2 linked regions of the Neurospora crassa OR74A genome follow. The protein of the gene in region 1 interacts with the protein of each later gene in a biochemical or structural test. Links are inferred from orthologs where the notes say so. Each region holds a gene or a part of one and is shown in the gene's direction. Other genes may lie near its edges.

Region 1 (4,441 bases):
AGTTTGAGCACGTGGAATTTCGATCCCAGCAGCCCTTCGAGCTCTAGCAAACGATCCAGCCAGCGTTATTCGCTCACTAGGTCAACAAAATCCCTCCCGGAAGAGGAAGTTGAACCATCTTCTCCACCTCCTCCGCTACCTTGTCAGATGCGCGGCGGTTCACGGAGACCCCCGCCCTCGGCTCTGTGCCTCAACTCACGCCCGCTCTCTTTTGTGGTGGATCAACCGTCGCCTGAATCGCCGTCGCTTGATAGGAAAGGTGTTTCAATCGAAGTAGCTGATGAGACAGCACCGGAACCGGAGTCCCTTTTCTCGTCTTGGGGATTGCCGGACGCAACCAAGCAACGTTGTGACAGCGGCGAGGACTGGGAGAATCTCTCTCCCACACAACCTGTCACACATGGTAGCCCTGAAAAGAGGTCAGGCTATGCTCCTCCATCATCAGTGGCTTTCCAAGACATGCTCAGATCCACTCCGTCCGTCGGCGATTACCCAGGTAGCCCATCGAAGCGCGCCGATAGAAGATTTAGTCTGCAGTCTCAGCTGTCAGAAAGGTCAAGCGAACCTGATCGCAGTTTCCTTGATCTGAGTGACCTCGGTGACGATCTCGGCGACCTTCCCCAGATATCTTCAACTTCACTTTCGAAGCAGGGCTCGAGACCCGCGCCCCATTTTAGGTCTTTGTCGGTTGCCAACGGCGGCTTGGGTTCGCGACGGAATAAGACACAGCTGGCGGAAGGTCCCCCACCTGCTCCCCCGCCGAATCGTGCCCTTCCTCCAATCCCGAGAAAATCGTCACTTCAAGTCTGTCACTCAGCATATTCACCTTGAGCTGTGATTTGCATTTACTCGTATCTGGCGCCATACCATCATTCAACGCATCGCCATTTCTGGACGTCTAGGAAGCACGACCACTGAAGTTTCCGAGTATCTGTCAGCGACAATACTTGCAGAGCAAAGGGCGCCTGGGGATTCAACTGATAGAGATAAACCGCCATCGAACCGCTGATTGACTCCGTCACCATTTCCTTTGTCTCTCTTTTTTCAAGGTCGGGTTCAGTCGAAAAACAAGATACCGGTTAGATGGATGGAATAAGGATGCAGGAAGCAAGATACTGGATACCCAGGTGATGAGGGTACATTTATACCACCGGCGACATCCGGAACGTAACGTGTGAACGATCTCCTTTGTCAGGTCGATTTGGTGCGGGATTTGTCTTTTTTTGCCATATACCTTGTATTATGTAATGTTGGGGTACCTACTGTGTATGTAGGTGATTAATTGAGGAGGTGAGTGTGGTGGGCATGAAGGGCGGGGTGGTTTTCGATTCTCAATCGGAGGAGGGGGGTCACAGAGTCAGAAGAAAGCTGGTGCCCGGCAGGCTCCGTGGCCAACTTAGATAGCAGTGAGTTTAGAGCATCAGATATGGATGCTTGGAGAAATCTGAATCGAGTTCAAACTCTCAAACTTTAACCTCGGTGCCAGCCATCAACTTGCAAACAAAGGTACCTACTATGTACAACACGTCCTGGTGTCGAGAGAGTTGAGCTAGCTCCATGTTGCGGCGCCGCGCCCTGCCCCTGGTAGGCCTGGAGGAGCAACGTTCGGGTTAGGGTTGTGATGCCTGTGATGCCCCCACTAATGGATGCGAAGTGGAAGCAACCCAAAGCGGATAATGAAAGAAGGGGCAAAACACCTCAACGTATACGTCTGGATGCGACCAGTCCTGCTTTGTCAAAGAACGAAGCTTCGTTTGTAGGGAGCCGTATTGGCTGTCATGTGCGAATCTGCTGCCTTGATATTGTACGTAGGATAGAGCACCGTTAGCTGCCAAACAGGGCTGATTTCCTGAGTGAAAGCCGAGTCAGCAAGACAATTTTTGCCCCACACTCAAATATCCAAAAATTCCCACCTCCAAAAAATGGGGGGGAAAACTGCCCTGGCTTTTCAAACTTGAGCCCCACCAAAAATCGCCGCCAAACCAGCGCAACGTCAACCCATCGCGACGACAACCCACGGCCATTTCAGTCATCCACCGCACCCATCACCAGACGAGCCGAACCTGCGGAATCAAAACAACCACATACTGTCAAGATGGCTGCCGTTCAACAGAAGTCAGTACTCCTCCGCTTGCCTCGACAGCAAACGCCCGTCTGCATCCACGCCCCCGATTCCCCCGATTGCCATTTTTCCGGCGTGCTTCACAACCCAACACGTATGCATTTGATTTCTCGGAGAGTAAGAGTCTAACATAGTTCGCGACCATTCAGGCACGACTGGGCCGACGATGACGAGCTCGAGGAGACCTCCACCGAACTCCCGCCCCCTCAGAAGATCACCAACAAGGATGGCAGCACGACCATCATCGAGTACCGCCTGAACGACAACGGCCAGAAGGTCAAGACCACACGACGCATCCGCTACATCACCCACCGTGAGGTCGTCAACCCCCGCGTCGCTGAGCGCAAGTCGTGGACCAAGTTCGGCCTTAGCGTCAAGGACGGCGCCGGCCCGGCCCCCGACACCACCTCGGTCGGCGAGAACATCATCTTCAAGCCTTCCTTCAACTGGCGCCAGGAAGCCAAGGATGAGAGCAAGGACCCCAACGCCCAGGCCATGAAGGACAAGTTGAAGGACAAGAAGGTCAAGTGCCGTATTTGCAACGGCGAGCATTTCACCGCCCGCTGTCCCTACAAGGACACCATGGCCCCCATCGGCGAGGCCGGCGCTGCCGCCGACGTCGCCGCCAGTGCTGCTGACGAGGCTGCTGCCGCTTCCCAGGGTGCGGCGGGCGCGGGCAAGAAGGGCTCGTACGTGCCACCTGCGCTGCGTGGTGCCGGTGGGGCCGCGGCTGCTGGAGAGAGGATGGGCGGCAAGTACGGCGAGCGCGACGATCTCGCCACTCTCAGAGTTACCAACGTACGTTTGCCCCTAGTGTCCCCCAAAAGGACGCGGAGGAGGAGGAGGAGGAGGAGGTGGTGGTGGTGGTGGAGAAGAAGAAGAAGCAGAAGGAAAAGGGAAAGAGGGAGTAGGCGACAGACTTGCAAAAGCTGCTCTGTTCTGCTCCTAAAGAGGGGTTATTATGACGGGACTGATTCGTGCTAACATGTTTTCTACGCTTAGGTCTCCGAGATGGCCGAGGAACAAGAGCTTCGCGATATGTTCGAGCGGTTCGGTCGCGTCACTCGTGTCTTCCTTGCCAAGGATCGCGATACGGGTCTTGCCAAGGGCTTCGCCTTCATCAGTTTCGCTGATCGCAGCGACGCTGTCAAGGCTTGCGCCAAGATGGACGGTTTCGGTTTCAGACATTTGATCCTTAGGGTTGAGTTCGCGAAGAAGGCTGCGTAAACTTAATGGGTCTTCTAGACGGACGAGGAGGCGGAGGAGAGGGAGGAAGGGGTTAGAGGAATGATGGAAGAAGCAGCGATGTTTTGGTCCCTAATGCGGTCTGCACAAGGAAGTGCGTCATCAAAATGGGAAAGGACTCTTTGATACTACTATTACTTGATCTGGTTCCTGTCTCTTCTTGCTGTGGGGGTTCATACTAATGGGGAACAAGCGGCAAAATTTGTCATGATCGAGAGATTTCTTCCGCCTTTTAAGCATATCGGGCCAGGGTGGCCAGGTGGTTATAGTTGACTTTTGTTACATGGATGACGGGCTAACTCCAGGTTGAACAAGATCGGTGTAATAGACTGGCAACATGCCCGGACTACAGGAGCCCAAAACGCACCGAAGCTCTTCAGAATACAGTGTGGTCTTCTTGTCGATTCAGGGCGCATGCCAGTGTTTAAAACAGCTGACAGCCTCTCTGAACTCTTGAATTATTATCAGTGCATTTATCTATCCCGCTGAACGTCCCTGGCATCAAACATTATATTACTTGGTGACAGAATCTGTTATGATGTCCTATCATCAACTCAACCGACCAATCGCAAAGACCGTAAGTTCCTGAGCTCTCTCAAAGCAGCCGGCACGTCCCTTCATCCTCTTCATCTTCCTGTCTCATTCATCTCATCACCGTAAAAGTCGTTCATCCCTCCGCCCTGCCCTCATAAATCATGAAGTCTTGGAAGATGTCGACAAAGAAAAATGGCTGGTTGCCTATAAGAGAAATAAGAAACAAATATCACTCGAGAATGAAATGAAAAAAAAAAAAAAGGGGGGGGGGGGGGGACATTCGGCGCAAAGAAACCTCAGCAACAACACCATGAACACACAAGAACAATAGCCTCCCGCCCATCATAACCCCTACACCTTCTCATCCCTAGACCTTCTTGCCTTTCCCCTCCTCCTCCTCCTTCGGTCATGATCACTCTCTCCATCAGTATCATTCCCTTCCTGCCTTTCCTTCTCCTCCTCATCGTCATTCTCGCTTCCATTCACCTCTTTCAGGCATGTTCCACCCTCCTCTTCCTCCCTTTCCCTAACCCCCCATAC
Region 2 (4,274 bases), on another chromosome or scaffold:
CTTGGTCTCGTCGATGGTAGCGCGGAGACCGTCGCGGATGCGCTTGGCCAGCGCGGTGCCGTCGATCTTGGAGGCCATTGCTGCTTCAGGCTCCCTTGTTGCGGCTCTGGGAGAAGCTAAACTGGAATATGTCCTGATGGAGCTGCGCGGATGGCCAAAAGCAGCAGCGTATCGAGAGACAGGACCCTGAATGTGAGAGAAGCGGGAGGAGGAAGATGGTGCAAAGGGTAAAGTGTCAGGCAGAGGCAGAGTTGAAGATGAGGGGGAGAGCAGCGCATTAGCTCCAAAATCGCTAGCAGCTGCTGCCCCGGCGCATGACGGTGACACCAGAATCGACCCCGTAAGCCCCGTCACTGGAGATAGGCGCCAATAACGGGATTTCTTAGGGCGGCTGCAGGTGGATCGCGGGGCGGCGGAGAAGTCAGTGGTACCAGCTGCAGAGGCGACGAAAGCCGAGGTAGAGCTCCGAGAGTCGGATTCCGTGCCCCACGACAATGTCCATCTTTTGAGCACGTCTTGTCCCGTATGCTCGACTTGAATGCGCCGCCGTGTGTTCAGCGACCCGTGTGCGGACAGGGATGTGAGACAGCTTCCGGCTCGACGCGACTTCCTTGACGTGGAAGACACCCTCTGGATGAAGCTGGAGATGGCCATGCCTACACGACGCAGACTGGTACTGTAGAGCTAGAAGAAGGGTGCAGTGGTCTTTCTGCGTGCGTGCTGTAACAACATCACACTGAACAGCAGCGGACGCAGGCTCGGGGTAAGGGATATTCAGAAGCTCAAGACTTCCGCCCGGCCAAGCTCTCTCGACGCCCCCGGGCACCTCCACGACGGGGTGGGACCAGACGGATTCGGGACCCAGGGGTTTTCTGCGCCGCACAGAAGAGTCACAATGGGTTCCCGCCTAGGTAGACGACGGGGGATCGATGTCGAGGATCCAATGATCGCCGGTTTGCTGGCGGGAATAGAGGTTTCGTGATTTGTGATTTTTTTTTCTTTTTTTTTTCTTTCTTTCCCTTCTCGAGGAGTCACCGAAGGTGAGCGTCTCAAGACGTGCCGCAAATGACCAGTGTAAATGTGACAACAAAACGTGAAGCCAATGAGATAACCTAAATAGAATAGAGCCCAAACCCAAGCTTCTCAAAATAGTACGTATTCACCATGCATTCTTGCAAGAATCCTACCATGTCTCGTTAGAAAAGCCTCTATTTCCGTCTACAAATCTCCGAGAGTTGAAGAACTTTTCCTCCTCGATGCGACCCCCGGAAGAGGGCATTCATATAACTGCAATTGAAGTGGGTGTCTAGATGCTGCATCCATGACTCTACAAGTTCTCGGCTTGCTGCAGGTAGCAGCTCGGATCATGATGTGCTCGCACTGTCCTGTCTGTGTCGTTGTTCTAGATTGAAGTTGGTGTGGCTTGCGGCCGCGGCACAGGCTTGACGAATACAGCTGACTCTTAAACTCTGAGTCACAGACTGAGCCACAACTTCTTATCGGTGGCTGTCGACGGGCCGGCAGGCTGCGAGCGGCGGATCGAGGTGGCAGGCTGCATCGCAAGGTCCAGAGTCCGGTCCGAACTGAAACCAGCAGCTTCAATGGATGGCACACGGCTGGCTGGGACGAGGGACTGGAGAGGGGCAGCTTGGCATCTGCAGGGATAGGTGTTGGTTCGCCCCGCGGCCGTCAGAATCCGCCAGAGCCAGCCAGCCTATCGCGCACAATCTGCGGAAAAATTACTGGGAGTGGAAATCCACCCAAAGAAAGAACACCAAAGACCGATCCGACGACGACGACCGCATCTACAAAGACACTAATCCACCCACCTACCTCCCAAGTCGTGCAACCCCCCCCCGCGATATTTCTCGACGACGAATCCACTCAGTGTCTTCTAACGACCATAACACTTCCATACCGCCGTCCACGCCTCGTCATATTTAATAACCCACAATCAAGATGAGGCCCATTCTTCTTTCGGGCCACGAACGTGCCCTCACCCAGATCAAGTTCGTCTTCCCTCCGCATCATCATCGCATACCTTACCCGCCGACCCGACCCCTCTTGGTGTTCTGGCTTTGGCATGTCGGGCATATAGAGATGCAGCCTCTAACAGCAACCCTTTACCCCCAACAGGTACAACCGCGACGGTGATTTGCTCTTCTCAGTTTCCAAGGACCAGCAGATTTGCGTTTGGTTCGCGCACAACGGCGAGCGTCTCGGTACATACCACGGCCACCAGGGCGCCATCTGGACCATTGATGTCGACCCCACATCCACCATCCTCGCCTCTGGTTCTGCCGACAACACCATCCGCCTTTGGGAGATCAAGACCGGCAGACTTCTTAAGACATGGGACTTCCCTACCGCCGTCAAGCGCGTTGAGTTCAGTGAGGATGGCAGCAAGCTTCTGGGTGTGACGGAGAAGCGCATGGGTCATCTGGGTACCATCGTTGTCCTCGACATCAAGCTCGATGTTGACGCCGAGCAGAGCGATGAGAAGGCCATGACTATCGTTTGCGAGGACAGCAAGGCCACTGTTGCTGGCTGGAGTTATCTCAGCAAGTACATCATTGCCGGCCACGAAGACGGCTCCGTCTCCCAGTTCGACGGCAAGAACGGCGACCTCCTCTACAACATCCCCATCCACGAGCTCAACCAGCCCATCACCGATCTCCAGTGGTCGCACGACCGTACATACTTCATTACCGCCTCCAAGGACAAGACCTCCAAGGTATGTCACATGGCTCCACAACCCCCCCCCCCCCCCTTTTTTTTTTCTTTCTTTGGTCTTCTTCCCGGATCCTTAAAACCGAAATCAATGAACAGTCAATCGCATGCTAACACTCCTTGATTATTTTCACAGCTCATCACAGCTAAGGACCTGGAGGTCCTCAAGACCTACCCCGCCGACACCCCTCTTAACAGCGCTACCATCACTCGCAAGAAGGACTTCGTCATTCTCGGTGGTGGTCAGGCTGCCATGGATGTCACCACCACCTCCGCGCGTCAGGGTAAATTCGAGGCGCGTTTCTACCACAAGATCTTCGAGAGCGAAATTGGTCGTGTGCGCGGTCACTTCGGTCCCCTCAACACGGTTGCCGCCGACCCGACCGGCAAGAGCTACGCCAGCGGTGGTGAGGACGGTTACGTCCGTATCCATCACTTCGACAAGGGTTACTTTGACTTTATGTACGAGGTCGAGAGGGAGAGGCAAAACAAGCTCAACCAGCAACAACAGCAGACCATTTCTGCCTAAACGGATCCCTTCTATCGACATCGATCGAAACTTTCGGACTTTCAGCAAGCAGGATCCGAGGAGGGGCGGCAGAAAGGGGCGGAAAGGCGATTCGCGGGACGAAATATGGGTGTCGTGTTATTGAGTTCAGGATTCTCTCGACTTGTCGGAGGAAGGAAATGAGCAAACGGGTTATTTTACATCGCGCGTCCAGGGATCCAACAATTTGGGGGAAATGGGCATTTCACAAACGGCGTTTTTTTCAGGCAACCTAATCTGAGAATTTGGGCGATTCCACCCAATATTTGGTGAAAAAAAAAGTGAAAAGGAGCAAAAATTGGAGCGATGAGGTGGTGCGGTTCGATGTGAAGCAAACGAACGAACAAGTGAGTCGCGCGGAGAGCGGATATGTAATTTCCATCTTGTCACGAAAGGAACCTTTGGTCCCTATCGAAGCACAGAAGAGTCATTTGTCATAGTTGAATTCGGTCGTTCTTCTGCTTACTATCTTGCGCAACCTCGTTCATGTGATATCAGATTGGACGTTATAAGTAGAGGTCTTTCGCCAATTGCTTACTCACTCCCTTATGGTCAATAAGAATCCAACACAAGTGGAAACAATAATACAGGGGTAAAGGAAGTACAAGACTGCGCACATCATGCCCTATTCATCCATCAGAGAACGGATTTGACCAAAAGGATATCTTTTGTTCCTCAGGTAGGCAGAGAAATCCCTCGCTAAATGACGGCAGGTGAGATAACCATCACCGAGACCGCAACATGAATACGACACAACGGAAACGCCGCGAGCCAACTGCATTAACCCTCCCTGGACTCTTCTCAGTGGTGAACCGAGCCCCTTCACCCAATCTAACCCAGTCATATGAAACGCAACTACAGCTTCGAATACCAAGCCAAGTCAATACATGTGCCGTAGCTTGTATTTTTGGTCTGGACCACCATCAGGCGGTCTACTTCTTCTTTCCCTTGGGGGCAGCCTTGCCCTTTGTCGCCTTCGATTCCGTCGACGCCACGC

What was found.
Region 2: the proteins of NCU08046 (region 1) and NCU03876 form a complex in vitro, tested with the Saccharomyces cerevisiae proteins (4 studies listed by BioGRID, with this or other methods). The link is inferred for Neurospora crassa OR74A from reciprocal best matches to the Saccharomyces cerevisiae genes TIF35 and TIF34.

The regions. Positions count from the first base shown.
Region 1 is NC_026504.1:4,018,336-4,022,776, reverse strand, and holds NCU08046 (eukaryotic translation initiation factor 3), read left to right. Parts: upstream 1-1,708; 5' UTR 1,709-1,778; coding exon 1,779-1,804; intron 1,805-1,860; coding exon 1,861-2,115; intron 2,116-2,271; coding exon 2,272-2,920; intron 2,921-3,124; coding exon 3,125-3,349; 3' UTR 3,350-3,863; downstream 3,864-4,441. Other genes in the region: NCU08047 (hypothetical protein), read left to right, coding at 1-831. UniProt on the Saccharomyces cerevisiae protein: RNA-binding component of the eukaryotic translation initiation factor 3 (eIF-3) complex, which is involved in protein synthesis of a specialized repertoire of mRNAs and, together with other initiation factors, stimulates binding of mRNA and methionyl-tRNAi to the 40S ribosome.
Region 2 is NC_026506.1:1,995,004-1,999,277, reverse strand, and holds NCU03876 (eukaryotic translation initiation factor 3 subunit 2), read left to right. Parts: upstream 1-1,697; 5' UTR 1,698-1,959; coding exon 1,960-2,009; intron 2,010-2,136; coding exon 2,137-2,734; intron 2,735-2,866; coding exon 2,867-3,259; 3' UTR 3,260-3,742; downstream 3,743-4,274. Other genes in the region: NCU03877 (C-1-tetrahydrofolate synthase), read right to left, coding at 1-654; crf4-1 (chromatin remodelling complex ATPase chain ISW1), read right to left, coding at 4,210-4,274. UniProt on the Saccharomyces cerevisiae protein: Component of the eukaryotic translation initiation factor 3 (eIF-3) complex, which is involved in protein synthesis of a specialized repertoire of mRNAs and, together with other initiation factors, stimulates binding of mRNA and methionyl-tRNAi to the 40S ribosome.